Linked DNA regions of Ovis aries. The protein of the gene in region 4 interacts with the protein of the main gene of each other region in a pairwise test. Links are inferred from orthologs where the notes say so. Each region holds a gene or a part of one and is shown on either strand. Other genes may lie near its edges.

Region 1 (3,500 bases), on a different chromosome or scaffold from region 4:
GACACGACTGAACAACTGAACATGCATGCAGTATTCCTTGAGAGAGGGTGCCATGGGCATTCAACTATCACTTGAGTTCTTTCCAAGGAAGACTTGGAGTAGACAGAGGAGAGAGGAAGGGCTGGTGCTGGACAGAGCCTGCAGGAATGGTGCAGGCACAGGAAAAGGAGTGCCCATAACCCCTCCGCTGGTCACGGGTAATTATTCACACACACACACACGTGTACTTACATGCATACAGACATACACCAACATACATGCATGCAAACATACAGATATATCTTAATGAAATCCTTGAAAACATTTTATTTAGTAATCTTTTTTTTCCCTTAAACATAATGTGAGCATTGTTGTGATTTCTTTTGAATGATTATATATATTACATAGGGCTTCCCTGGTGGCTCAGACGGTAAAGACTCTGCCTGCAATGTGGGAGACCTGGGTTCGATCCCTGGGTCTGGAAGATCCCCTGGAGAAAGGCATGGCAATCCACTCCAGTTTTCTTTCCTGGAGAATCCCCATGGACAAAGGAGCTACATAATTATTAGAGATTAAGGCTAATTCTAATTTTATTACAAGCAATGCTGTGATTAATGTCTTCGTCATGAAATTCTATGCCCATTAGGAATTATTACCTTAGAGATAAACCCCTAAAGCTAGACCTGCTGGGTGAAAGCACAGAGGGCCGGGCTAGGGTTCCTGGTACATCTCACCAGGCACAGTTCCAGGAGGTCCCCAGTAGTTCTCCTGCCAGCTGTCATGAAGGTGCCCATCCTCGTACCCTCTTGCCAACCTGGGCCTTATTGTTATTATTATTATGTTTTTAATGATTTTATAATTTGGCAGGCAAAGATGCAATATCAGTTAAATGTCCTTGATTACTAGTAAGTTTGAACATTTTTCAATGAATGTTCATAAACTTTATTTCTGTCCATTCATGCTCATGATTCATTTATTTTATAGCAGAAGTTTGTGCCTTTCAATCTCCCTCACCTAGTACATCCACTTTAATTTAAACCATTCAACTTCTTTTGTGAATTGCCTATTTTATGTCAGGCTTGATTTTAGTTTTTGTGTGGGAAAGGGAATAGAGTCAGGTGTTCAAGGACAAACAGAGACTTTTGCAGCTATAAATGAGGAAGAAGGTTGTTCTGGAAGGAGAGCATAGCTGGGGAAAGATGTGGGGATGCCGGCCTGGGCAGCAAGCCTGGAGGACAGAGAGGTGGAGAGTGTGACCATCCCTGGGGAGGTGGGCAGGTGCTGGTCTGGGGCTGGGTAGTAAAGAGTTTAAACAGGATTCTGTGCACAGTTTAGAGGCTGCTGTGGGCTTTAGGCTGGAGAGCGACATGGCCGGGTTTAAGTTTCAGGCAAGTCTCAGGTGTTGACCGTGGTGCGTGGCCTGGAGGTTGGGGAGGCTGTGGGCACCCGGGGATGAAGGTGATGGTCCTCAGCATAGGGGGCCTGTGTGGGCAGGGTGGAGAGGCAGGCATCTCAGAGGCAGGCAGGCTGGGAGAGGAGCGCTGGTGTGGCGCCGGGCTCTCCTCTCTGTGGCTCAGCGTCCCCGGAAGGGAACTTGTGAATTGGCCGCTGGTGGCCCAAGCACAGGGCAGGCGGATGGCCGTGCGGCACAGCGCCGGCTCCCGCACCTCTCCCGGCCCTAGGATGCTAAGGAACAACCGCATCAGCTGCATCCACAACGACAGCTTCACGGGCCTGCGCAACGTGCGCCTCCTCTCGCTCTACGACAACCAGATCGCCACCATCTCCCCGGGAGCCTTCGACACGCTCCAGGCCCTCTCCACGCTGTAAGTGCGGCTCGGAGGGCGCAGGGCCGGCGCGGGCCGGGCTGAACCCTGGAGCCCCGGCCACTCGTCCTGTCTGCAGGGCATGGATGGTCTTCTGCGGTTACTGTGAAGGACTCAGGCGTTTGGGTCTTTACGCGTTAACGTGCCACCTCCTAGTCGCTGCTGGTGGTCCTGGGTGACCGTGTGGCCAGCAAGTGGCAGGCAGGAGCCGGCTTTGCTGGGACAGCTGAGTCTCGCGGGGCGGCTTTTGTGGTCACACCACTCGCCTCTTCCAGAAACCTTCTGGCCAACCCTTTCAACTGCAACTGCCAGCTGGCGTGGCTGGGCGACTGGCTGCGCAAGAGGAAGATCGTGACGGGGAACCCGCGGTGCCAGAACCCAGACTTCTTGCGGCAGATTCCCCTGCAGGACGTGGCCTCCCCCGACTTCAGGTGTGAAGAAGGTAATGCGTGGGCACCCCCCGCCCCGGGTGGTGGGGGGATCGGGCCTGGTCGTGCCCCAGAGAGGAGGGGTCCCCTGGGGAGGGGAGGGGCGAGGAGCAGGACACCCACTCAGTCCTGCGCCTGCCTCAGCCTGGTGGGGTCTCCGGTGCGATTATAAGAACGATGGTGGGCTTGCTGTTTTTAAAAAATGGGGAAATACAGACAAAGGAAGGGCATAAATGTTACCTATTAGCTCGTCACTCAGAGAAAATCATAGTTAACATCTTAAGAGTAATGTCTTTAAGTAAGTTTAACCCAGAGACCTGCCTCCTAGCTGTTCCTGAGGGCTCCAGACGGTGGCTTCAGCTTGTGCAGCACCCACCCCGACTCTCTTAGGGGCCCCACCCTCCGTCCTTGGGTCACTTCCTGTGTCAGGATTGTCTTTTCCCTGAGTCCTCGATCTCTCTCCCGGGGGCATGTCCTTCTTTCCCTACACGCACAGAATCCAGCCTATCCCTCCATCCCCCGCCTCCCCCTCCAGAGCACCATATACAGAGGCAACTGTAGGAAGCAGATTTTTACCCAAAGTGACAGGGCAAGGTCTTGTCTTGGCCCAGCTGTCTGTGTTCAGGAGCCCCGGCTCCGGGGATTTCTCCGCCTGCCTTCAGCTTCAGCCTCCTGGCTTCTCCCCACCTTTCTCAGCACCTCCTATCCCCTTTCCAGTCTGCTTCCTGGGACCCTGGTGTCCTTATCGTCCGTCATACACTCAAGCAGAGGAAGGAAGGAACACAGAGGGTGCTCAGTACTGTTTATTCAATACATGAGTGAATCTGTGAAGGATGTTGGGATAGAAGGGGCTGAGATGCTGGGCCAGCCAGACCTGGGTACAGACTCCATGTTGCCTCTGATCAACCTCCTGACCTGAGCAAGCTATTTAACCTCTCCCAATCTCAGTAAGGTAGAAAGTCCTTCATTCCTTCATTCAACTGACCTGTCTGGAGGCTGATATGGGCCAGGCCCTGCTCTCAGTGCTGGGCCCCTTCAGTGACTAGAGAAGAAGAAAGGGACACAGGTCTCCGTCCCCACGATGCTCACATTCTAGGAGCAATGGTGGTCCCCGTTTACCGCATCATTAAAGAAATTACATTGGTACAGTGTCTGGCACACAGTAGGTGCTCAAGAAATGATGTGGCCACCATCCTCCTTCGCTGCTGTGCCCGGGTCCATCTTAGGTCTGAGGTGGAAGCGGTGAACCCAAGACCAATTCCAACCT
Region 2 (3,941 bases), on a different chromosome or scaffold from region 4:
TGCCAGGTGGAAGAAGGATTTGATGTGCTGGAATGCCAGCTCGGGAAAGGAGGTACCTTCCCAGTCCTTCCTTAATTTGCTGAGGTTTTGACAGGGCCTGAGCTCAAGCCATCTTAAACACCCTCAGAGGCTCTTACATTCTGACAGGTGCCCTTTCATGGGAGGCATCATACCACAGGTGTTTGAAGGTGTTTTTCTCTACAAGAAAGGACTTTTTTTATGTACCTCAGGCTCTCATATTTTCATTCCATTATGTTTTACTTGTATTTCTACCAAACCTGCAGATATGGGGATTTAAGAATCAGCAGGGCTTGAAATGATTAGAGTCAAAAGAACTCTACCTTGGGACTTCCATAGTGGTCCGGTGACTAACTCTCTGGGGCCGGGGCTTTGAACCCTGGTCCCCGGGAACTAGATCCCACATGCCACAATGTAAGATACCCCAAGCTGCACCTAAGATCTGTTACAGCCAAATAAATAAAAATTTAAAAAAACAACAAAAACTTTGCTTTTTGGCCAATAGCATCCCCCCATCCTAACTTTAAGACTTCTACTTTCTACCCCCAGCCCCCAACTACTTTCTCCCTTCTCTGTTTCCCTTCCTCCCTCCCCCACTCCCCAGCTCTCCACACTCAGAGCGAGCGTGCCCTAAACAGTGACAAACCTGCATGTGCTTCCTTTATGACTAAACTCCTGGGCCTCTCGCCAACCCCCCACAGATGGTCGCAAACATCAGACACCCTTTAGGGGAGCCCCACGTTTGCAACCCGGCTGGGAACGGCCAGGCGGAGAAGCGTGATGGGGAGTGGCGGTGTCTTAGTCCTGGGGGAAGGCGCAGCCGCTTCCAGGAGGAAACGGGCGTTTCCTTCCCACGCGCTCGGCGAGCTCTGGGTCCTGGCCCCGGTCCTCCACCCAGCCCCGCCCGGAGCTCTGGGAAAAGCCAGTCGCCACACACAGGCACACGCAGGCCCCAGGGCCGCGCCCAAAGGAGAGCGGCACCCACAGCCAATTGCTATGGCAACCCCGGGGTTCGTTCCATTCCCCACCCCGCCGGTCCCCCCGCCTCCTGCCTGAGCTGCAGCCAACCGGCTTGTGCGCGTCCCAGGAGCGCGCTATAAAACCTGCGCTGTGGCGCTGGCCCGGGGCGAGCCCGACCTGGAGCGGGGCGAGCAGAGCCAATCTCCGACCTGGAAAAGGCCTATGAGAGCGACAGGGGAAAGCCTGAACATGCAGGGTGCGCAGAGCCCGAGTCTCGGTCTGCCCAAGCAGTGCCTCTGCCTGGCTTTCCTGCTCCTCCGTCTCCTGGGACAGGTGAGTGGCGCACTCACCAGGTGCCTCTGGTTACTTTCTGAGCAAAGCCCCTGCTCGGTCTCTGGCTCGCTCGGCTTTCCAGCATCCCTGATGAGAAGTTTCTCCTTCTGGTGTTTCCCGCCCTCAGGTCGCTGCGGCTGAGCGTTGCCCCTCCTCGTGCCCAGCCGCGTGCCCCCCAGAGCCTCCGACCTGCGCCCCTGGGGTGAGAGCGGTGCTGGACGACTGCTCTTGCTGCCTCGTGTGCGCGCGGCAGCGCGGCGAGACTTGTTCGGTGCTGTTGCCGTGCGAGGAGAGCCGCGGCCTCTTCTGCGACCGCAGAGCGGACCCCAGCGCCCAGACTGGCATCTGCATGGGTAAACCTGCCCCCACCCCGCCACCTGATCTCCTGTCTCTCAATAGCGGAGCTGTCCCCTCTTTCCTCTCCTCTTCCCTTTGTTCCCAGAGGGTGGTGCGCAAATACTCGTAATGATGCCCTAGTTGATTTTTATGGAGCGCCTGTGCCAGGGATGGTCTGGGGTCGCGTGGGGTTTGGAGGAGAGCCAGAAGCTGGAAGGAAACCTGCCCTCCCGTGGAGGTGAGAAGCGTTGGTCACTTGCCTCCCTAGAGAAGAATCCAAGTAGACTGGGAGCAGAGCAGAGTTAAGGGCCAGTGAAGTCATTTCCTATCCACGTTTCCAGGGGATGCTTGGGGGGTGATGGAAACTTGGGCTTGCTCACAGGCTCAGAGTTCCCCCAACTGTGGCCATTCAGGTTTGTTTTCACACCTGTAATTGTCCCATTTGAGCCAAAGCAGCCCCTACTCTCCTGGGACCTATGGAACCCCTGTATGAGTTGTGAGTAAAATCAAGCTGGTGAAACTCAACCAGTCGGTTTCCCACCTGGTGTACCATTTAGCTGGAGGCTGTCCCCACCTCCCTGGATGAGGGGGCTTGGGATAGTCTTTTAGCTTCTTTTCTAAACTAGCGATGATTTATTGCGCTGGGATGCCAAAGAATCTGAAGCCCTTCCCAGTTTGCCCAGTTAACCTGTTTGGAGACTGAAGAGCTCTGTTTTTCTTTTAAATTCTGAGCTCCTGGAATAGGAGAATCTAAGGAGGTTCTTGCAAAACGACCTTTTCATTGGGAGCAAAAGCTGTGTGACCTTGGGAGTGTCACTTCACAGTCTGGCCCCTCTTCCTTCATCCGTAACATGAGTGGCAGGACTGGGTGGTCTTGAGTGTCTTTTCTTCTTCTGGGAAGCTCCATGAGGACATCTCTCTACTGGTGACAGATCAGCAACCAGATGCCTTCAACTAGAGAAAGAATGAATTGGGGTTTGGAACATGTGCTGTGCATCTTCTATAGCTTCTCCAGTGCATCCTGTTTTGTTTTGTTTTGTTTTGTTTTTCTCTCCCCTTCCCTCTCTGCTCTTCTTCCCCAAGACTCTTCACCACGCCATTAATAATCACTGTAGCAAGCCAAGCTCCTCTGTCCATGGGATTTCCCAGGCAATAGTACTGAGTGGGGTAGCCATTTCCTTCTCCAGGGGACCTTCCCGACCCAGGGATCGAACTCAGATCTCCTGCATTGCAGGCAGGTGTTTTACTGTCTGAGCCACCAGGGAAGCCCCTTCCCTCTCTGCTCTTCTTCCCCATGATTCTAGCGGTAGAAGGAGACAACTGTGTGTTCGATGGAGTCATCTACCAGAGTGGGGAGACCTTCCAGCCAAGTTGCAAATACCAGTGCGCCTGCCAAGATGGACAGGTTGGCTGTGTGCCCCGCTGTGAAGAGGACTTGCTACTGCCCCAGCCCGACTGCCCAGCTCCCAGAAAAGTTAAAGTGCCAGGGGAGTGCTGTGAAAAGTGGATCTGTGACACCAAAGAGACGGGGACATTAGGGGGCCTCCAGACCCTTCCAGGTGAGAAACTCAACATAGCTGAATTTAACAGTCCCAGCACGGGAGGACATGCAGGCAGGAAGGACGTGTGCTCTTTGGGATTTGCAGTGAGAAACCAGCTTCAGTTTCTGGCCATTCATTCTTGGAGTCCAGCTGGCCCATGGAGATTAGACATAGCACGTGTGGGAATCCCAGCCAAGTTATGGAAGTATGCACACAGCCTCTCCTGAAGAAGAGTCATGTTCAGTGGTTCTTTTGAGTCATAGGAGTGATTTTTGTAATCTTATTACATGACTACTATTTATATTTTAGTCTGTCTCACTTGACCCTTATTAACATTGCAAAGGTATGTTTTAGCAACTTTATGCAAAACACACAATTGATATAGCTTCTATATTTATGGCAAGAGTCAATTTATGTGAGTCACTCAGTCATGTCCAACTCTTTGCAGCCCCATGGACTATAGCTCTCCAGGCTCATGGGAGCGGTTAGCCATTCCCTTCCCAAGGGGATTTTCTCGACCCAGGAATTGAACCCAGGTTTCCCACATTGCAGGAAGATTTTTTTTACTGTATGAGCCAATGCGGAAGGCTATCAATTCAAGGGGAATGACTTTTAGGTCATTTGCAAAGGGCCTGGTGATAGCTCTTTCTTTTCTAGATTCTGTCAACTACCTATGCACTCTCAAGACTATCTCCCCTAAGGAATGCCATCCCTGGACAAGTGTCACAGAGAAATGCCACCTTTCTAGATGCT
Region 3 (3,500 bases), on a different chromosome or scaffold from region 4:
AGGGTGAGGCCACTCGAGGTGAGGGGAGGGAGAGGAGGGGCAGGTAGGTGGGGGGAGGGACGCCTGCTTTCTCCCTGCCCGCCGTTCTCATTATCACAGGCCGGTAATTCCAGCAGGACCAGCACCTGCCATTCTGTGAGACAGATCGCTGTGCACACCTGTAATTAGACCTAATGGGGGTAATTTCCAGGCAGGCTGGCTCGTCCGGTGGGAGATTCGCGGCAGGTGGGACGTGGCTGCTCTGAAAGGTCCCCTCATTCGGGGGGGGCTGCGGCTTTGAATCACCGCGTGATGGGCTTCAAACCACGAGGGGGATAACTCGGCGGCTGCTGCTAGAGCAGGCACTGACATTTGGAGGGGAAGTCTCTTCTTCGGGGGGTTTATTTAAAACCAGGACTTGAAGCCTTGTAGCCGAGGCGACTGGGGAACTGCTAGGGCAGCAGCTGGCGACGGGGCCTCGGCGGCCAGCAGCTCAGGCTGGGACTGACTGTGCAGAGCTCAGGGCTGAAAAGCTGTGCTGGTCGATGGGCTGTGAAGAATGTGGCTGGGTGTGGACCCGGGGAATTCTCTGGGACCCCGGAACTGCCCCTGGGTTAAGGACTCCAGCTCACAGTGCAGTTGAAGTGAGGACTGGGGCAAGGTCAGATGGGAGGGGTCTTGTCCTGAGACTCGGTCCTGGTGGCGGCTGCCGCTTCCCAAGACCCTCCTCAGCTTGATGTCGGGCATGTCCCCCTGGCCAGAGGGCTCAGGATGGGCCTGCAGCCCCTCGAGGTGGGGTCTCCTGGAGGCAGGATTGGGCTCTGACTCCACCTCTGATGATGAGGAAGGGCAGGTGCGGGGGGAGTGTGGCCTCGAGCAGACCTGCAGGATTTCACTACCAGGGCTGAAGCTACCTGATTTCTGGCGCTGCTGGCTGGGAAATGGCATTAACAGGAGGTGGGCTGGCTGGGTGTGGTGCCCCCCCTACACACACACACACATGGGGAGTGGGGCATGGGTGTTGAAGACTAAAACAGATCTTTCTCTGAGTCTGAGATGGACTATCTCCCAGGTCAGCCTGCTCTTGCCTCCTGCCCACCTGGCCGATCTTTCCTCCAAGCTGGCTTTGTGCTGGGCCACCGGGGGGTTGGTGTAAACAGGGCAGGGGTGGTCAGGCGAGAAGAGTGGAGGAGAGGTGGGGGTCCCCACTCCCGGGAGGCAGGTGCCTCATCACTTCCTCTCTCTGTTCCCTTCACTTCTCGGGCCCCAGCTGCCAAATCCATCTGCTCCCATCAGCCCCAGTGTGTGCTGCTCTGTAACTTTGATATTTAGATGGACGGTGTGTGGCCTCCGTTTGGGGCACCTAGTTCATGGAGCTCCCAGGTGCCTGATCTGGGCAGGAAGCTTCACAGATGTGATCTCATTCCATCAGACTGAGAGATGCTCTGGGTTTCTTTGCGTGAACCTTCCACATCTTGGGCAGGACACAGGCAGAGCTGGGATGCTTTTCCGTCCTATGACTACTTCCCCAGTGAGGACTGTGTTCCGGGCAGTGGGTGAGGCATCAGGGATTCGATGGTGAACAAGTCATGGTCCCAGAGTGCATGGGGCTCCTAACCTGAGGCAGACAAGGGACACATCAGAAATGATGACACAGGAGCCAGTTCTACACTGGGGAAGCCTGGGGTGGGGGCCAAGGAAAGTGGTCTTTTAACAGGAGTTAAACAGGAGGTGGTACTCTGGGTCTGCTTCCTGGAGGAGGTGACATCTAAGCTATGCTGTGCTTCGTCACTGTCATGTCTGACTCTTGGTGACCCCGTGGCCTGTAGCCCACCAGGCTCCTCTGTCCATGGGGATTCTCCAGGCAAGAAGACTGAAGTGGGTTGCCATGCCCTCCTTCAGGGCACCTTCCCAACCCAGGGATCGAACCCAGGTCTCCCGCATTGTGGGCAGATTCTTTACTGAGCCACCAGGGAAGCCCAAGGATACTGGAGTGGGTAGCCTATCCCTTCTCCAGGGGAAGTTTTTGACCCAAGAATCAAACCAGGGTCTCCTGCGTTGCAGGCGGATTCTATACCAGCTGAGCTGAGCCACCAGGGAAGCAAAGAATACTAGCGAAGGTTGTCATTTCCTCCTCCAGATGAACTTCCTGACCCAGGGATTGAACTCATGTCTCCTGCCAGTGGATTCTTTACCACTGAGCCACCGGGGAAGGAGAGGATGAATCCAGGGGTTGGCTCAGAAAGAGCAGACATCACAGCCCAAATGGAGATGGAACAGTGAGCTTTAGGGAAAGAGGAAAAACTTGGTGTAGCTGGAAGAGAGCCAAGGAGAGATGAGCTGTCCTGAGCCCCTGGGGGCACTGCGGGGTGCACTGAGGAGCAGGGCATTTGAGTGGATGGAGTGGTCGGCTCACTGGGTGCAGGATGCCTGAGCCCCCAGATCTCTGCTCCCAGAGCTGAGCGGCCAGGTCTGGGGAGCCCCAGGGTTTCTCCTGACCCATGTGTCTGCCTGTCTCTCCCACAGGTGGACCCCTACCTGCCCTACGAGTACACATGTGAGGGGATGCTGGAGCGAATCCATGCCTACATCCAGCACCAGGTGTGTGGGTCCCCCACCCTCTGTCTCTGGGGTGGGATGGCTCCAGAGTCTGAGGACCCACCTCTGCCTGGGGTGCAGGGTGCTTTAAACCCCCAGTCTTTCTCCAGCCTGTTTTCTTCCCTGTGAAGGGTGGAGATGGACTGTTGGGGGGACAACAGTACTACTCAGAGACCAGGCCTGGAGCGCCCCTCTCCTGGACCCCCAGCTCTAGCATCCCAGCCTCCATATCATAGCATGGAAATCCAAATACTTTTATTTTTCATTTTATTATAAAGCTGTTTAAAAGTTTGGTAGCAAGTGAGGGGGAAGTAGGGAGTAGGTTGAGTCGGCGGGAGAGAGGCACCCCAATTTTCCTCCTAACTCTGCTTTCCTCCCGGCAGGACTTTTGTGTAGACCCGGCTCCTGCCCCACCTGGGGCCCGAGCCCCGCAAAGCCCCTTCATCCTGGCTCCCAATGCCACCCATCTCGAATGGGCCCACAACACCAGCTTAGCCCCGGGGGCCTGGCCCCCAGTGCACTCTCTCCGGGCCTGGCTGGCTGCCACGGGGAGGGCCTGCACGGACGCCTGCCTGGACCACGGGCTGATCTGTGAGCCCTCGTTCTTCCCCTTCCTCAACAGCCAGGACGCCTTCCAGAAGTGAGTGAGCCCCCTGCCTGACCTGGCCCAGCTGACCTCACCTGTAGCCTGTCACTCCCTTGACCACCTTGCCCCCTGGCCTGCCAGCAAGGGTGAGGGGGACTCAGTGCTTCCCAGAGAGGAAGGATCTGGAAAGGACCTTCCAGGCAGGTTTCCACATTGCAGCTCTACACCCTTGGCAAAGCCTCAGACCCCTGCCCAGCCTGTCTGGGCATCTTCTAGGTCCAGGCCGCAGAAACTGCCTGATTCCTCCTGATGCGTCAGCCTGTGGCCCTGCCCTCCT
Region 4 (4,266 bases):
ACACCTCTGAAATGTGCCTGCCTCAAGCAAAACTTCCTTTTTTTAACCGGGAAGGGAAAGCTGGAGGGGAGTGGGAACCCCAAAGTCACACACAATCAGATAAATTTGATCCGTTGGATCCCCATATGGTGAACATGGTCAGAGTCAAATCTGTACAGCATTGGCTGCAAAATTCTTGTATGATGTCTGGACTTCTTTTACCTAAGAATGCATCAATTCTTGGCTTCTGTTTGGCCTTTTCTCTCTACAAGCCAAAGGCTGACACAAGGCCTAATAGTAAAGAGCAGTTAACGACCCCGTGGGCATCGGGGTAAGAGGAAGGTGATGGAGAACAGGAACGCTGTCCTGGGATGACGCTCAGATTTGCACGTGTCTCTCTAGGGGTAGACTTGCAGGTTTACACAAGGAACTACACAGTCAGTTACAAAAGGGAGGAGGTGTTGCTGGGGAAGAAGAGAATGTCCTGTCCACCATCAGCCATCTGTCCCCCGCCCCTCCCACCTGCCAGCTCCCACCCCTACTTGAATGGGAGGGTGTAGATAAAAGAGACTCTACCACTTCTAACGTCCCCCTCCAGAAAACAAGAAACCTTGCGGGGGTGGGTGGGGGTGGGGAAGAGGAGTTCATCGTACTTCGCCGGAGCTGTGGTCTCACCCTTTGAGGCCCGGATGGGAGCCTGCAGGCTCCTTGTTCCTAGGGAGCCGGCAGATGGCCTGCAGCGCAGGGCCCGGCCCCCACGCTGGCCACGTCCGCTATCGTCATCTCTCTCTCCCCTCCTCCTAGCCCTCAAAATCCAGCGGCGGAGTTGCTCCCCGTAGGGCTCCCGGAGCAAAGCTAAGTGGGGAGGAGAAAGGGGCGGAGAGCGAGGAGAGAGGGAGGGCGAAGAGCCGGGCCACCCCTAGCCTTGGCCAGCAAGCCTAGCTCCCAAGGCTCACCCTCTCTCCCGGGCGTCGAATTACAGAAGCTCCCGGTTGCCACACTAATAGCCAGAGGGTGGGGAGGATGGGGAGGTGTGTGTGCGGCGGGGGGGTGGGGGAGGCGGCGGGGGAGGCGGGAGGAAAGGAGGCTTCAGGACTCTCCTTGAGGAAGGGAAGTTTCCTTTCTTGCCCTCGTTCCCTCCACGCCCACTTGGGTTCCTCCGAACCAGCCCTCTGCGTACTTTCCTCCCGACTTTGGAGACCTGGTGGCCTAACCATGTCCTACGCCACCGTTCTCGGTCCTCCTCAAGGAACCATAGGAGGGACGGAAGCCGGGAAAGCGACCCTTTCAGTTCCTGGCTTTCCGGGCTCGGCCAGTGTGCTAGTGGCCGCCCAGCGAGCTCCTCCTCCCCACTGATTCCCAGCCCGAGAGACCGCGGAGCCCTTCGTGCTTCTCACCTTTTGCCAATTAATCTTTCTGGGCGCGGTGGGGAGGGGGGCGGTGACGGGGGATGCCTTCCAGCCCCCACCTCCCGGAGGGGGGAGGGCGATTGGAGTTGGCGCGCGCAGAAAGCAGCTTCTGCTCCCCTTCGCCTTAGCGCTCCGCTTCTGCCCCTGCGGCCGTCGCAGCTGCTGCTGCCGCCCAGGCTGCCTGGGGGGGCGACTGCGCGTCACCTAGACTGGGGAGCGCCGGGGATTTAAATGCCACTGAAACGGTGATCCATCACTGCAGGAGCCAACAAACTTTCTCAGGAGGCTCCGCCATTGGCTGATAGAATCACGTGCCCCTCCCGTAGCGCCCTCCGCCCTCCCGCCCCCCCTCTTGCGCACTGTACATTCATATCATTTTTCTTCTTGGGCCCCATGGAGGAAGTGAGAAAGTTGGCACGGTCACCCAGGACTTCGCAGGACCCGGTCACTCAGTGACAGATGGACAATGCAAGAATGAGCTCCTTCCTGGAATACCCCATCCTCAGCGGTGGCGACTCGGGGACCTGCTCAGCGCGAGCCTACCCCTCCGACCACGGAATTACAACTTTCCAGTCGTGCGCGGTCAGTGCCAACAGCTGTGGCAGCGACGACCGCTTCCTAGTGGGCAGGGGGGTGCAGATCAGCCCGCCCCACCACCACCACCACCATCACCACCCCCAGCCGACAACCTATCAGACTTCTGGGAACCTGGGAGTGTCCTACTCCCACTCGAGTTGTGGTCCAAGCTACGGCGCGCAGAACTTCGGCGCGCCTTACAGCCCTTACACGTTAAATCAGGAAGCAGAAGTAAGTGGTGGGTACCCCTCGTGCGCTCCCGCTGTTTACTCTGGAAACCTCTCATCTCCCATGGTCCAGCATCAGCACCACCACCAGGGTTATGCCGGGGGCGCGGTGGGCTCGCCTCAGTACATTCACCACTCATATGGACAAGAGCACCAGAGCCTGGCCCTGGCCACGTATAATAACTCCTTGTCCCCTCTCCACGCCAGCCACCAAGAAGCCTGTCGCTCCCCTGCGTCAGAGACCTCTTCTCCAGCACAGACCTTTGACTGGATGAAAGTCAAAAGAAACCCTCCCAAAACAGGTCAGTCTTGCCATTCCATGAATGCTCCTTTATGATTCTGGAAGGAGCTGGTATGCTTAGTTTCCATGAAAAATTAATCTTTTTTTTTTTTTTTCTTCTTAAGAAAAGTTCTTGCCTCCCACTTCTGTTATAGGGTGTGGAGAGATTCCCCAGGTGCTTTGGGGGCAGAGGAGCATCTGGGACTGTTGTTTCCAAAGGGGCTGAATTTTAGAGGTTTAGGAAGTGGGTAGGTGTGTGTGTGTGTGGAGAGCATTCTGTTAATATCTCCAGGCTCCATTAATCATGGTCTGACCATGCTAATGGTTGACTTCAGTTCAACACCTTACACCTCATCACTCACCCTCCCAAGCCCGGATTAGGTTGAGAAAGTCTTGATTCTCCCTTTTACCTGAAGGTTGCTCTGAAGCGTGTAGGGAATCTGATATGATTATAAACATTTTTACCTTTTCCTCTCATTGCCCCCAGGGAAAATTGGAGAGTATGGCTACGTGGGTCAGCCCAATGCGGTGCGCACCAACTTCACCACTAAGCAGCTCACGGAGCTGGAGAAGGAGTTTCACTTTAACAAGTACCTGACACGCGCCCGCAGGGTGGAAATTGCCGCGTCCCTGCAGCTCAATGAGACCCAGGTGAAGATCTGGTTCCAGAACCGCCGAATGAAGCAGAAGAAACGAGAGAAGGAGGGTCTCTTGCCCATCTCTCCAGCCACTCCGACGGGAAGCGAGGAGAAGGCTGAGGAATCCTCAGAGAAGTCCAGCTCCTCGCCCTGCGTTCCTTCCCCGGGTTCTTCTACCTCAGACACTCTACCTACCTCCCACTGAGGCTGCCCCAGCCCCACTCAGCAGCCAGGGCTACTCCTCACACTGGGACTTCTTACCCAAAGCACATTCTTAGCTTATCTTCTTTCCATTTACAATCTCTCTCTCTTCCTTTCTGATCCTATCTGGGGAACTCCTGGCTGGGGATAATGTGTTTCCAGAGAATTCTAGATGAGAGACTTGATGTGGGGGTGGGGGGAAAGGGGTGTTAGCTCCCTAATGCAGCTTGAGCGCCAGCATCAATTTTCTGATGGCCCCTAACACCCCTACTTTTAAGAGATTTCGAATGAACCTACTGCTCCTTTCAGATGCCCTTTGGAAAATAGTCTCCTTTGCCAGCAGAAATATATCAGAGGGAGGCCTCTCATCTTTTATCTATCTGTATATTTACAGTTCTCTCCTACTTTGCCCTGAAAGTAGGCTGGAGAGAGAGGAGAGTCCAAGAGCTCATGAGGAAGAGATTCTCTATGAGCGTGTTTACACGATTAATTCATCCCTTAATTTAATTCCATGTGTGTGAGTTTGCTGGTTGTAAATACTTTGTCCTGAAAGATTTATCTTTATACAGATTTTCTAGAAATGTTTAGATTAATGTTTAGATTAAAACAGGATGGGCAAACTCTCAAAGCTGGTACAACTTTGTGATTATAGGTTAAAGAATAAAAGTTCTCACTTAAAATCAATCAGATGCCTTAGAAGGTAGTCTCAGTTTGTTCCTTCAGTGAGTTAAGAAGGCCTGCAGAATACAGGGGTCAGAAACCTTGCTTCCTGGGCTAAATCTCTCCCCATCCCCAACCCTTTCTTGTTTCTCTGGCCACACTCTATTTAAAATTTGTGCTGGGTTATCTGGGACCTAAAAGTATTATTCAAACCAGCTTCTTCCTTCCACAGTTATCTTAGCTGGATATGATGTATTTTCAGCTCAGTTGTTAATGTGATGGATGGCACAATGAAT
Region 5 (4,241 bases), on a different chromosome or scaffold from region 4:
GATTCTTGAGAAATAAAAACTTAAAAATAAATGCTTTAGCAATCTTGTCCTGCACCCCACAAAATAACAGGAGTCTCAGGGATTCCCTGCCAGTTTACCCACCACCCAGTGAGCCTGAGTTTAAAGTCAGAAAGCAAAAAAAAAAAAGTCAGAAAGCAGGCCTGGGCACCTGGGACTCATCTGTTTGTTCTGTTTCATTCCAAATATTTCTATTAACTCTACAAATACAAAAACCAAAACAGAAATACAAAAGATGAAAAAACAGAGATGACACAAAGTGGCCTAAATGGTCCTTGTCTTGAGAAAACTTAGGGGTTTATTGAAATAATAATAAATCATAATAAAATTATAATTTTATAATATAAATTATATAACTTATAAATTATAATAAAATATAGATATTGAACTTCAAATAAGGATATAATACTTATACTTAAAAGCATTTTATGTTTTCACTTCCCTCATCTCTTGAGACAACATTTGCTTCTGTTGAGTCCAGTACTTACCTCCCAAGTCTGTCTCCAACTAGACCCAACTCCTTAAGGCCAGAGGCTGTTCTAACTGTGCCCTCCACACCAAGTGCAGAAAGTGCTCAATAAGTATTAGGTGGGAACACCTGATACCCTGCTACTGAATATCCTGGTTTTAAAATATTGACAAGTCACTGGAAAAAAATAAATAAATAAAACCTTTCAAATGCTTGAGAGTAGACCCAACAGTACATGACTGTAGTTCATGAAAAAATGGCAAATAAAACTTTTAAAATAGTGGTGACAAGAAAAATAATGACTTTATCTACTCTGTCATTTTACGTGTATTATTTATTTCTTTACCATAAAAAACAGATAATGCCTGTGGTTAAACATTCAAAAACATATAAGCATACAGAGTAAAAAAGTGAAAGCTTATATTTTTATTTTCCTCTCCCAACCCCTCCCCAGCTGCTGCCCCCAGTTCCGAGTTTGGGATGTATTCTTCCTGATCTAAGTAACTAGGCAGACATATCTCCAAGCCTATTCGTGTATGTCAGGTTAACCCCATTTTACAGATGAGGAAACTGCAGCACAGAAAGGTTGAAGCATTCATCCAAGATCACAGAGGGAGATTCAAATCCAGATCCTCTGATTCCTAAATCAGCGCATTCCTTGCGCTACGCCCCGTAGGTAACATTTATGGATGAAGAAACCGAGGCTTAGAGGGTCCCTGAGCAGTCAGAACCACATGGTTCACAGTCCAATTTAGGAGAAGCAGGGATAACTGGGCTTGCACGGGAGGCTGCGTGATGGAGAGGGCCCTGACCAACGTGGAATCGAGGTCAGGCTTGACCATCTCCCAGCCCAGCAACGCCCCAATGTGGGGCGCGGGGCTCGCCCACGCCGCTCGGGTACCGGCGCCACCAACCCCTTGGCGCCCCTCGCGGCCGCTCCGCCCGGGCTGGCGCAGCGCTCGCACCGCCCACTCAGAGCCGGTCGGGAGACCGCGGTCCCGGAGACCCGAGCCCCAGCCGGGTCGAGGGACAGCCCTGGCGCGATGGCTCCCTCGGAACCCGGCTGGGACCTCCTCGGCCTCGCCCCCTGGAGCGGTCGGCAGGTGCCGGGCGGGAGCGGCCAAGGCCCGCAGCCCAGGGTGGGTGGCCCTGGCGGGCTGGGGATTCGGGGGCCGCCGGGGGGCTGCCGCCGGGCGCGTGGCGGGCGGGCTGGCGGGGCGGGGCGGGGCGGGGCGGGGGCGGAGCCGCGGCCGGAGGCGGCCGTAGCCCGGCCCAGGGGCCGCAGTGGCTGCCGCGGAGCGAGGCTGCCTGGAGGGAGCGCCCGGGCGCAGAGGGGTTAGCTGGCCGCCGGGGCCGCGCAGAGCAGGTACAGATCTTCCCTGGGACCCCTGGCCCCGGTCGCCCTCTCTCCCCCGTCTGGTTAGACCATCCGCCCCACGCCGCCGCGCCGTCCGGGTTCTCCGAGCCCCGCGGTCGCGCCCCAGCCACGACCCCGGCCCCAGTTCTTATAGCCTCGGAAGATCTTCCAGTCCCTGGGGTCCAATTCCTGGGGAGGGGGCTCTGATCTCTTGGAACGCTGGCCCCATCACTCGGACGAAGAATCAGCCAAAATTCCTACACAGAATAAAACTGGAAAACACACCCAGGAGCTCCCGGCACGCGCCGGGCACCTCCTGCCCTTCCCCTCTGGAACGGTATTTCTGGATGATGCGTTCCTCCCCCATCCCCCCAACCCTGTCATCCGCTTCCGTCCTGGGTTGGGGGGCACAGACGCTGGGAGGGTTACAAGTGGGTGCCCCGAATCCAGCTCAGCCTGACGACTAGAAAGGCAGGACACCTGTTGGGTGGGCCTCCAGGACCCAGGAGTGGCACAAGGAGGACCAAGGAGTTCTCGCCCAAGACAAGGACTCTGCAGCCAGCCCTGGAGCCCTGGACCCACCCCCTGCCCCTCAGTGCCACTGTTCCCCAGAGGTAGGTCTCTTGGGGTTAGTGAAGCGGTTAGTTCTGCCCAGGTCACTCCTCCTTGATCTCCACTGGCCAGTGTGGAGTTGTGGCAGGGAGGAGCCCAGGTTTGTCTAGACCAGTGTCAGCCGGGCCCAAGAATGGCCAGTTCTGTCTGACCTCTCCTTTCTTCACTCTGGACAGTGAGGCTCACCAGATGAGAAACGGAAAACATGAAAAGACTGAAAACCACAAATGTGTATCTGTTTCTGCAGCGTTTGTGTGTGCCTGTGTGTGCATGTGTCGGCCCCCTGCCCAGCTATGCGGGGGGTGGGGTAGGACTTTTCCAGAGAGGGAGCCAGGCCTGGCCCTGGCCCCAGGAGCTCACGTCACCCCACCCCCCACCCCTCACTTCTCCAGGGAGCTGCCAAAGCCAAACCCAGCTCAGGACAGGATTATGTGTACTGGGTAGACCCATAGAGAGAGACAGCTAGACACAGGCCTGGGGTAGCAGAGAGAAGCAGAGGCAGAGGAAGTGGAGAGGGGACCCAGCAGCAAGAAGTGGCAGTGACCAGCCTCCCATCTCCTTCTCTTCAACCACCAGGAAGGGAGTCAGGCTGAAAGCTGAAGGTTTGGGTGGAATGTTGGCCCTTCTCTGGAGCCCCTACCCGCCTCCTCATCAGGGCGGAGTTGCTGACCTCAGTGGTCAGCCCAGCCAAGGGAAGGAGCAGCCATCAGCAACCCCCTTCACAACCCCAAGTAGCTGAGGAGACCGTTCGGGCACAGGCCCCGCCACTGTGATCCTTCTCAACATCCCAAGCGCTGGGGTCTCAGGGAGGTGAGGGGGAATGGATTTGCTACCTCCAAGCACATTCCTGCCCTTCCCTCTGTCATTTTCCTGCCCCTGAGCTGGCCCACCTCAGCATTAGCTCCTTGGATTCCTCTCCCGGGTGCCTTTCAGATCCAACAGAAACATTTTTTTTTTTTTCCTGGAAAGCAGAGCTCAGAGCAGCATGAAGAGTGGGGGTGGGAAGGGTTCATTGTGAAGGGACTGGAGGGCCAGGGGGAGCCATGGGAGAGCCAGGCTTAGACCAGGGGAGGGTTCCAAGCTCCACTTCTCCAGTGATCAAGCTGAGACTGCAGGATGGACTTCCTGGCTCTTCAGAAGATAGACCCATGAGTGACTGGGGACCAATAGCCTCTCTAGCTGTATCTCCCCTCCCCAGCTTCCCCCAGCCATCAGAGTCTTGCCTGAAGGAAGGCCTCATTGATCCAATGCCAGAGGCTGGCCCCTAGAGGGAAGTTAAATATCACTGGGGAAAATCACCTGCTTCTCTAGAGATAAACCATCAGCCCATTTAGTTTATCCCTTGGCTGCAAAGTTTGAGATAGGCACAGTTGTGTCAAGTGTTCCAGAAGGAGCTTATTAGGTAAGAAGGCAAGAAAAGGCTGAGAAGCAGGTGGGAATGGAAAGCCCAGGGGGCTTCCAGTCAGCAGCTCAGAGAGGATGTCTGAAAAGTCCTCACTGAACCTCCCTCCTCAACCCTCTTAAGAAAGATGCATGTGTCTGAGCTGGCCTAGAGACAGTCGCTGTTTAGGACACAGGAGCTGAGAAGTTCCTGAAGCTGAAGGAGGGGACTGCGCCTGAGCTGGGAGGCTGAGGGCAGACCTCCACCCCTTCAGCTTGGGTAGATGGACAAAGGCAGTGCTCCTTTTCCCTCTCACCTTTAGGATCATTAAGGGATGGACCAATCTTCACCCCTCCATTCTCACTCTGAGTTGTCCTTCTGAGAAGTCATCCCTCCCAATCCCC
Region 6 (3,500 bases), on a different chromosome or scaffold from region 4:
AATACAGATTCCAAGATGATTCCATTTGGAACTGTTTCTTAAACTCTTGGACTGTCATACAGAACCTGGCCTAGAAGACCGGGCTTTTCGGCGTGATCCGCGCCGCCTGCGGCTGAAGGTCTCTCCTCGGATAACTTTTCTCGGATGGAATTTTGTGGCTGCTTTAATACTCCGTGCTCTGACCTTGCCAAAACGAGCAAAGGAAGTGGCTGGGTTTCAGGACCCGATGCCTCCAGCCTTCACATCCCCGCTAGTTGGAGAAGCCGGCGGTCCTTCGCAAGACAGGAGCCAGAACTGGGGGAGCGGACTGCTGCCCTAGGGAAAACACCACTCTAGAGAAGAGGAAGAGGTGAACTTCTCCAGAGGCCCAGAGGAGCCGGGCTTTTATATTCTGCCTGCACATGTCTGCGGTTTCCCTCACAAGCGTCTCTGTCTGGGCTCACAGGACCGCAGCGCAATGCCTAATGAAGCGTGCCGAGGAAGGGGCGTCCAGCAACTCCGGAAGAAGGGCTGGGGCGGGAGAAGAGTCAGGTTACAGGTTCCATGTTCTCGAAAAACCACTTGAAAATCTGATCTAGAGACTCAAATTCCGGGACCCGCGAAAGGCCTGTGGAGCGACCTTCGGGGCCCCGGCAGCCGCGAGCGCTCGGCAGAGGTGCGCCTGCGGCTCCGGTTCTGCGCTCTCCGCTCTGTTCCAGCGCTTGCCTGAAGCCGGTTGGGAAGGCCGCGGGGTGGGCTTGCCAATTCCGGGTCGCCGGGAACCAGGCCTGTTTTCTCTTGACTTGCCTAGCATAGTGGCATAGGACTGCGGACACGGGCACCGCTCTGGAGCTGCCGCGGCCGCTGGCCCACGGTCCCCGCAGGTGCGCCCGGGGCTAGCGGCATCCCGCCCAGATCCAGGGGTGTAGCCGCAGCCGAGCTCTCCTCCCACCCCCCGCCCAGGGGCTGGTCGCCTGCGTCCCTCCCCGAGAGACAGACCCTGGGCGCCGAGGCCGGCTCTGGGCTCTTCGGCATCTCTCACTTCCCCCCTCGAGTGAGCCTTTGGCGCGCATCCAGAAGACTCGGGGATTTCCGGGTCCAAGCCCTAAAATAAACGCTGCGGAGGTCCAGAAAGCGGGGGAGGGGAGAGTAGCGTCCGCACGCGGAGAATGAAAACACTATGAGAACGACCCCGTTCTCTAGGAAAAGGTAATGAGAGAAGCTCAACAGTGAACTTGCTCGGAAATGCAAACCCAGCTCCACTCTCGCCGGGCGCATACCAACAAGCGAAGGACGAATCAGCCGGAGAGCCCGGCAGCTTCCCAGAAAGGGCCTCATGAATGAGAATGGGTTGCTAGGTTTCCTCGCTCCCTCCTGACACCCGCTTCCCACCAGAGAAAAGGAAGAGGCTTGGCCCTGCCACTGCCGAGCGGGGACGCGCGGCCAAGCCCACGCGGCCGCTCCCGCCTTCAGGACCCTGGAGAGCGGTCGCCGCGCCCCGAGGACGCCCGCCACGCCCCCGGGTTGCCTGTATTCGCTGCTTCCCGCCTCCACCTTTATTTTTCTTGGCAACCACTAGCTCTTGCTTTTCACACACATTTAATTGTCTTTTCACTTTGCTTGCGGGGGCTGTTTGGATTGGCTGAGTTAGGTTCCGGTTTGTAACTTCACTAAATGTTAGTGGATCAAGAAGCTCTGAGAGCTCCGAAAACCTGAACAAGGAGGGTGACCTCAAAAAGCCAAAGTTCAATCCTTTTACTGCGTAAATGAATCGGATGAACTCAAAGAATAAGAATTTCCGAAGGTTAGCCGTCGCGTTGGTAGCAAGGTAGAGTCCTGAGGCCCTGAGTTCTAAATTAACGTTTACCTATACATAGCAAGAAAAAAGTTTATCTTTACCTTAGCCTCTTAGATCTCCCACGCAACAAGTGGAAGGTGAGAGGCCTGCCTCTCAGCTGGAGGCCTGCCTCCAGCATTGGCTGGAGGAATAGATGAACACAGGGTGTGTGGAAAGGGGGCTGTAGATTGTGCTAAGTTCTGGTCTCTCCTGACCCCAGTACCCAGCACAACCGAAATCAAATCGCCAGTGCATTTTCCTCCAGCCTGAAGGCCTTCAGTCTCCTGCCTGTAACCAGGCCTCCCCTGGACTCTTCTCACAGGCCCTGGTGACCTCATCCGTCTCTAGTAGAGCTCTGGACACTTTGGACGGTGGAACAAGACAGAGGGAAAGAGGCAGGATGAGAGGAGGAGGCAGAGTGAGAGTTGCAAAAGTGAAGTAGGAGATTTTCAACCATATTCGAAAGAGCCAAGAGAGGTGAACTCAGACACTGCTGTGCACTGCACCTCACAGGGAACAGGTCTCAGAATTCCCTGGGAATGTTAACATTCCCATTCTGATGCGGTGGGTCAGGATAGGGTCTGAGATTCTGGTTTTCCAACAAGCTCCTAAGTATTATCCAATCTTCGGGTCCAAGGACCACACCTTAAGTAGCAGGCAGTTAGAAGGGGTGGGAGGAGAAGGCGGTGAGGCGGAGAGGGAAGAGAGGGGAGGATTAGCAGCTGGGAGAAACTAAGCAGAGTCCTCTTCCTCTTGCTCTCACCGACTTCTCTTGCACCCCCAAAGTAACGCCTCAAAATGCCGCAAACTGGTACTCTGCACTTCCTCTTCGGTCTGCAGCAGGACCCCACAATGACCTTGTGTGGTTTTGTCTCTCTCCTCCCCCGCCTCTCGCCCTGCCCGCCGGCCCCGCACAGCTCCCAGGTTCGCCCGCTGCCCCGACGCTGCTCAGCCTCCTCTTCGGCACGCTCTCCGGCCTCGCGCGCTTCTTCGCTCTCCTCCTTCGGCGACCCCCTCCTGAGGCTCCCCTGCGGCACCGGAACTTCTCCGCCCTGATCCCGGCCCTGCCAGCCGCCGGGCTCTCGCCGGGGCAGGAGGAGCGGCCGGGCCGCCTCTCGCTCCTGCTCAGGGCAGCTCTGGCACTGCCTGGCCGACCCTCAGGGGGACGTCTGCCTCGGGAAGTGGACGCCAGCGCCGGGCAGAGCTCGCCCATACCCGTGAGTACTGTGGTCTCACAGTCCGCGACCTCGCCGGGACGCCAGCATCCCGGGTTCCTCCCTAACTCGGACTGACCCACTCCATGTGGAGCCAGCAAGGGGAGAGCGGGAGGGCAAGCGGGAAGGTCAGACCCGGCCGCGCACGTTCAAGGAAAAGACGCCGGCTGCCCGCCTCACACCCCTCCCCCCAAGAGACCCTGAGGCTACTTTTCCCTGACCTCTTCCTTCCAGAGTCTATGGAAGAGGGAGGGGGCCCCCGCCGTCTGCGAGGCGGCTTCTCAAACTCTCCGTCTTTACGCGTCGCTCTCCTCCCGCTACTCCAAGCCAACCGGGGCAAGTTTCCGCCCCCTCCTCGCGCTCCCACTCCCCAGCCCCCGGCTACTGCGGGCTTGGGTGGACAGGGAGGAAATGACGTGATGTTATTTTAGGGTCAGGTCGGCTTCCAGCTTCAGTTCAGCTCTCCGCGC
Region 7 (4,004 bases), on a different chromosome or scaffold from region 4:
CTGCTCCTCCTCCCAAGGATGGGGCTCTCTGCTAAGGAGTATGGCCTAGATCCCGGAATTCTCCAGTTCAGCCAGACCAGATGCCTCCCAAGATTAAGAAGGAGGGTGCTGGGATGGTTGGGAGGATGGTGGGAATGTGGGGGTGGGAGGTGGCAGGGAGGCTGTCACGACCGGGAAAGTAAGACAAAAGAGGTTGTGGGTAGGGTGGAGAGGCAGAGGGTCCTGCAGGTGAAGGAAGAGGGTGGGGAAGTGTGTCAGGCTGGGGAGGAGGATGGTTGGATGGGCCTGAGCACAGGTAATAGTAGGGAGAGAAATGCTGTCAGCAGACAGAAAGGGGATACCGTCTGTTTCTGGCTAAGTTCCTATCCCAGGGACAGAGGAAAGAGGAGAGATCTCAGAGGGGATGTAGGGACACAGGCTGGGCAATGAGAGTGGTGTGGGGATTGAGTGGTGCTGTGGGCCCAGAGACAGGCGAAGATGAGTTGATGGGCCCGTCCTGCCCGTTGTCATCCTTAAAGACAATTCTTCATCCTTCCGGCAGGAACTCAGTCCTAGCGCAGTGGCCGGCCCAGGCCTCAGGCCGTCTCTGCCTCTCCGTGGCCTGGGGCTCCCGTCCCGGGCCGGACATGCACCTCCTGGTCCAGTTGCCCCGTGGACGCCGGCAGCGGGTGGGTGGTGGTGGGGGCTCCAGATCCGCCTCTCCTCCCCGCTTTGCGCCCCCTGGTCCCTCCCCTCCCCCTATCCCCTCCGCTCCCCCTTCCCCTACAGCCCCTCCCTCCTCCCCTGCCCGGTTCCAGCCCCTCCCTCCCCTCCCCCACTCGCGATCCGGGCCGCTGCTGCTGGGCCGGACCCCCCGGGCTCAGCCCGGCCCCTCGCCGAGCCGCCGCCGCCGCCCCGTTTGCTGAGGAGGAGGCCCCCGGCCGGGGCGCCGGGCGCGGGGCATAAAACGGGCCAGAGCCGGCGCCTGGGGCACTAGAGCCGCGTACGGCCCGGGTCAGCGCCCGCCCGCCCGCGCTCCTCCCGGCCGCTCCTCCCGCCCCGCCCGGCCCGGCGCCGACTCCGCGGCCGCCCGACGAGCCCCTCGCCGCACCGCTCGGGCCCTGGCCCCGGCCCCCTCCCGCCGCACCGCCCCCGGCCCGGCCCTCCTCGCGTCTCCCTCCTCCCTCTGTCGCTCCCTCCTCCCTCCCGCCTCCCCAGCTGTCCCGTTCGCGTCATGCCGAGCCTCCCGGCCCCGCCGGCCCCGCTGCTGCTCCTCGGGCTGCTGCTGCTCGGCTCCCGGCCGGCCCGCGGCGCCGGCCCCGAGCACCCCGCGCTGCCTATCCGGCCCGAGAAGGAGCCGCTGCCCGTTCGGGGAGCAGCAGGTAGGAGGGCGCCCCGGGGGAGGCGCGGGCGGGGAGTGCGGCTCGGGGCAAGTCTGCGCCCGCCCGGAGGGGGCGCAGGGCGCAGGTGGCTCGGCGCGGCGGGCGGCCCGGAGGGGTGCCCAGGGACCCGGGGCCCGGCCCGCAGCGCCCCGGGGCGGGCACACGGCAGGAGCGGGACAGCGGCCGCCAGCCAAGCCCGTCCCCGCAGGCTGCTCCTTCGGCGGGAAGGTCTATGCCTTGGACGAGACGTGGCACCCGGACCTGGGGGAGCCCTTCGGGGTGATGCGCTGCGTGCTGTGCGCCTGCGAGGCGGTGAGTGGACCCAATGGCTGTGGCCGGGGGCCCTGTGGGTCGGGGAGCGCTGAGGTCTTGGGACGTCGGATGGACCCGGAGCTGCTGAAGAGAAAGAAGCCAGTCTGCAGATATTTGGGATAATTTTTTTGGCGGAGGAGGCACGAGGAAGGATAGAGGAGAGGAAGCGCCCCCTTCAAGTCTCAGGTGTTGCCTATTATTGATCGTCCACTGTGTCAGGCTCTTAGCCAACTCCATTTCATCTCTCACTTAACTCCTAGTACAACCGCGTTAGACAGAGAGTATCATTGCTCCCGTTTTTCAGACGGGGACCGCGCAGCCCAGAGAGGTTAAGTAACTTGTCTAGAGTCACGCAGCTTGTAGGTAGCAAAGCACTCTTGACTCCGTGGGCCGACCTTGACCTTGTCCGATGCCTTCTCGGCTTGCCTTTGATTCTCAACAATTGATGTCTTGCCCTCACTCGGCTTTCCGTCTTCTCTGTGAGCAGCCTCAGTGGGGTCGCCGCGCAAGGGGCGCAGGCAGGGTCAGCTGCAAGAACATCAAGCCCGAGTGCCCAACCCTGGCGTGTGGGCAGCCGCGCCAGCTGCCTGGACACTGCTGCCAGACTTGCCCCCAGGGTAAGGCCGGCTCCGCGGAGAGGGGAGGGCGGCAGGGCCGAGATGCGTGGCTGGGCGGAATGGAACGGTCAACTGGCCCTCTCCTTGCCCACCCGAAACCCGTGTCCCCCACCCTCGGTGCAGAGCACAGCAGTTCGGAAAAGCAGCCGACGGGCCTGGCCTTCGAGTATCCACGCGACCCAGAGCACCGAAGCTACAGCGACCGTGGGGAGCCAGGAGCTGAGGATCGGGGGCGTGGAGACGGCCACACGGGTAGGCAGAGGCCGGGTAGGAACTGGGGTTGTGACAGGCGCCGGGCCGCAGCAGCGGGTGACGGAACTAGGGACATCTTCCTCCCCTCGCAGACTTCGTGGCGCTGCTGACAGGGCCAAGGTCGCAAGCGGTGGCGCGGGCTCGAGTGTCGCTGCAGCGCTCCAGTCTGCGGTTCTCCATCTCCTACCGGCGGTGAGAAAGAGGAAGGAGGGAGGAGGGGTCAGCCCGGGGCCAGGGAGGGAGAATTTGGAGAGGCTGCAGCAGCGCTTCTGGCCCAGGCTCAGAGCCGGTGCTCAAGGGATGCTCATTACCAGGCTGGACCGCCCTACCCGAATCCGCTTCTCTGACTCCACTGGCAGCATCCTGTTTGAACACCCTGCAGCGCCCACCCAAGATGGCCTGGTGAGATGATGCCATTTATGAGTGCTTATCCCATCTGGGCACTATGCTGAGAGCATGCTCTACATTGCCTCCTCGGGTCCTCACAACAGCCCAGTGGGAGAGAGGCACTGACATTATGATGCCCATTTTACAGATGAGGGAACTGAGGCTCAGTAGCAGAATGTGATTTGTTCAAGGTCATACAACTAGTTGGTGGAGGATCTGGGATTTGAACCCTGGCATCTGGTTCCAGGGCCCTTTCTTACACATCCTAGGAGAGCCTGGGGACAGCTTCCCGTATTCCTTTCTCACCAGACATGGGCCTCTCAGCAGGCATGTCCTGTATACTGAGAGGGCCTTCTTGTCTCTCTGCTCCAGGTCTGCGGGGTGTGGCGGGCAGTGCCTCGGTTGTCCCTGCGACTCCTTAGGGCAGAACAGCTGTATGTGGCACTTGTGACACCCACTCACCCTTCAGGGGAGGTCTGGGGACCTCTCATTCGGCACCGGGCCCTGGCTGCAGGTGAGGGGAGCCAATCTCTCCTGGACGTGAAGTTCAGAGTCTTCTTGGCCCCCCAGAAATGGAGTGGGCTGAGGGGGGCACTTTCTGATGGGCTCTCGTGGTCCTTTTTTCCCCAGAGACTTTCAGTGCCATCCTGACCCTGGAAGGGCCCCCACAGCCAGGCATAGGGGGCATCGCCCTACTCACTCTCAGTGACACAGAGGACTCCTTGCACTTTCTGCTGCTCTTCCGTGGGCTCCTGGAGTCCAGGAGTGGGGGTAAGCGGGATGGGGGCAGACACGTGAAGAGGGTAGGGAGAGCACCCATCTTTCAGAGGTTCCATGTGTGTGGCTATTGCAGGACCAGCCCAGGTTCCCCTGTGGCTCCGGATTCTACACCAGGGGAAGCTACTTCGAGAGCTCCAAGCCAATGCCTCAGCCCAGGTGAGTGAGGGTCTGGCTCTAACTGCCGCCTGCTCTAGCCTCTTGCTGTGCCCACCGCACCCTCCTCTGCCCCCAGGAACCGGGCTTTGCTGAAGTGCTGCCCAACCTGACAGCCCAGGAGATGGACTGGCTGGTGCTG

What was found.
Region 1: the proteins of HOXA1 (region 4) and SLIT1 interact in binary tests that used the Homo sapiens proteins (3 or more experiments, as listed by UniProt). The link is inferred for Ovis aries from reciprocal best matches to the Homo sapiens genes HOXA1 and SLIT1.
Region 2: the proteins of HOXA1 (region 4) and CCN3 interact in binary tests that used the Homo sapiens proteins (3 or more experiments, as listed by UniProt). The link is inferred for Ovis aries from reciprocal best matches to the Homo sapiens genes HOXA1 and CCN3.
Region 3: the proteins of HOXA1 (region 4) and MGAT5B interact in a two-hybrid assay, tested with the Homo sapiens proteins (2 studies listed by BioGRID). The two-hybrid records come from large-scale screens. The link is inferred for Ovis aries from reciprocal best matches to the Homo sapiens genes HOXA1 and MGAT5B.
Region 5: the proteins of HOXA1 (region 4) and ADAMTSL4 interact in binary tests that used the Homo sapiens proteins (3 or more experiments, as listed by UniProt). The two-hybrid records come from large-scale screens. The link is inferred for Ovis aries from reciprocal best matches to the Homo sapiens genes HOXA1 and ADAMTSL4.
Region 6: the proteins of HOXA1 (region 4) and RGS20 interact in binary tests that used the Homo sapiens proteins (3 or more experiments, as listed by UniProt). The two-hybrid records come from large-scale screens. The link is inferred for Ovis aries from reciprocal best matches to the Homo sapiens genes HOXA1 and RGS20.
Region 7: the proteins of HOXA1 (region 4) and CHRD interact in binary tests that used the Homo sapiens proteins (3 or more experiments, as listed by UniProt). The link is inferred for Ovis aries from reciprocal best matches to the Homo sapiens genes HOXA1 and CHRD.

What each region holds. Positions count from the first base shown.
Region 1 is NC_056075.1:18,144,938-18,148,437, reverse strand, and holds part of SLIT1 (slit homolog 1 protein), read left to right. Parts: intron 1-1,661; coding exon 1,662-1,805; intron 1,806-2,080; coding exon 2,081-2,247; intron 2,248-3,500. UniProt on the Homo sapiens protein: Thought to act as molecular guidance cue in cellular migration, and function appears to be mediated by interaction with roundabout homolog receptors.
Region 2 is NC_056062.1:57,929,185-57,933,125, reverse strand, and holds the start of CCN3 (CCN family member 3), read left to right. Parts: upstream 1-1,141; 5' UTR 1,142-1,200; coding exon 1,201-1,311; intron 1,312-1,438; coding exon 1,439-1,664; intron 1,665-2,951; coding exon 2,952-3,206; intron 3,207-3,941. UniProt on the Homo sapiens protein: Immediate-early protein playing a role in various cellular processes including proliferation, adhesion, migration, differentiation and survival. Acts by binding to integrins or membrane receptors such as NOTCH1.
Region 3 is NC_056064.1:54,245,288-54,248,787, reverse strand, and holds part of MGAT5B (alpha-1,6-mannosylglycoprotein 6-beta-N-acetylglucosaminyltransferase B), read left to right. Parts: intron 1-2,505; coding exon 2,506-2,580; intron 2,581-2,960; coding exon 2,961-3,217; intron 3,218-3,500. UniProt on the Homo sapiens protein: Glycosyltransferase that acts on alpha-linked mannose of N-glycans and O-mannosyl glycans.
Region 4 is NC_056057.1:70,524,166-70,528,431, forward strand, and holds the start of HOXA1 (homeobox protein Hox-A1), read left to right. Parts: upstream 1-1,466; 5' UTR 1,467-1,847; coding exon 1,848-2,493; intron 2,494-2,958; coding exon 2,959-3,314; 3' UTR 3,315-4,266. UniProt on the Homo sapiens protein: Sequence-specific transcription factor. Regulates multiple developmental processes including brainstem, inner and outer ear, abducens nerve and cardiovascular development and morphogenesis as well as cognition and behavior.
Region 5 is NC_056054.1:100,567,421-100,571,661, forward strand, and holds the start of ADAMTSL4 (ADAMTS-like protein 4), read left to right. Parts: upstream 1-1,441; 5' UTR 1,442-1,626; intron 1,627-1,770; exon of another isoform or gene 1,771-1,853; intron 1,854-2,343; exon of another isoform or gene 2,344-2,458; intron 2,459-3,032; exon of another isoform or gene 3,033-3,266; intron 3,267-4,159; 5' UTR 4,160-4,241. UniProt on the Homo sapiens protein: Positive regulation of apoptosis. May facilitate FBN1 microfibril biogenesis.
Region 6 is NC_056062.1:34,909,352-34,912,851, forward strand, and holds part of RGS20 (regulator of G-protein signaling 20), read left to right. Parts: intron 1-2,723; coding exon 2,724-3,033; intron 3,034-3,500. UniProt on the Homo sapiens protein: Inhibits signal transduction by increasing the GTPase activity of G protein alpha subunits thereby driving them into their inactive GDP-bound form.
Region 7 is NC_056054.1:203,596,902-203,600,905, reverse strand, and holds the start of CHRD (chordin), read left to right. Parts: upstream 1-1,204; 5' UTR 1,205-1,213; coding exon 1,214-1,361; intron 1,362-1,569; coding exon 1,570-1,673; intron 1,674-2,160; coding exon 2,161-2,290; intron 2,291-2,413; coding exon 2,414-2,542; intron 2,543-2,634; coding exon 2,635-2,734; intron 2,735-2,856; coding exon 2,857-2,944; intron 2,945-3,301; coding exon 3,302-3,443; intron 3,444-3,559; coding exon 3,560-3,700; intron 3,701-3,782; coding exon 3,783-3,865; intron 3,866-3,941; coding exon 3,942-4,004. UniProt on the Homo sapiens protein: Dorsalizing factor. Key developmental protein that dorsalizes early vertebrate embryonic tissues by binding to ventralizing TGF-beta family bone morphogenetic proteins (BMPs) and sequestering them in latent complexes.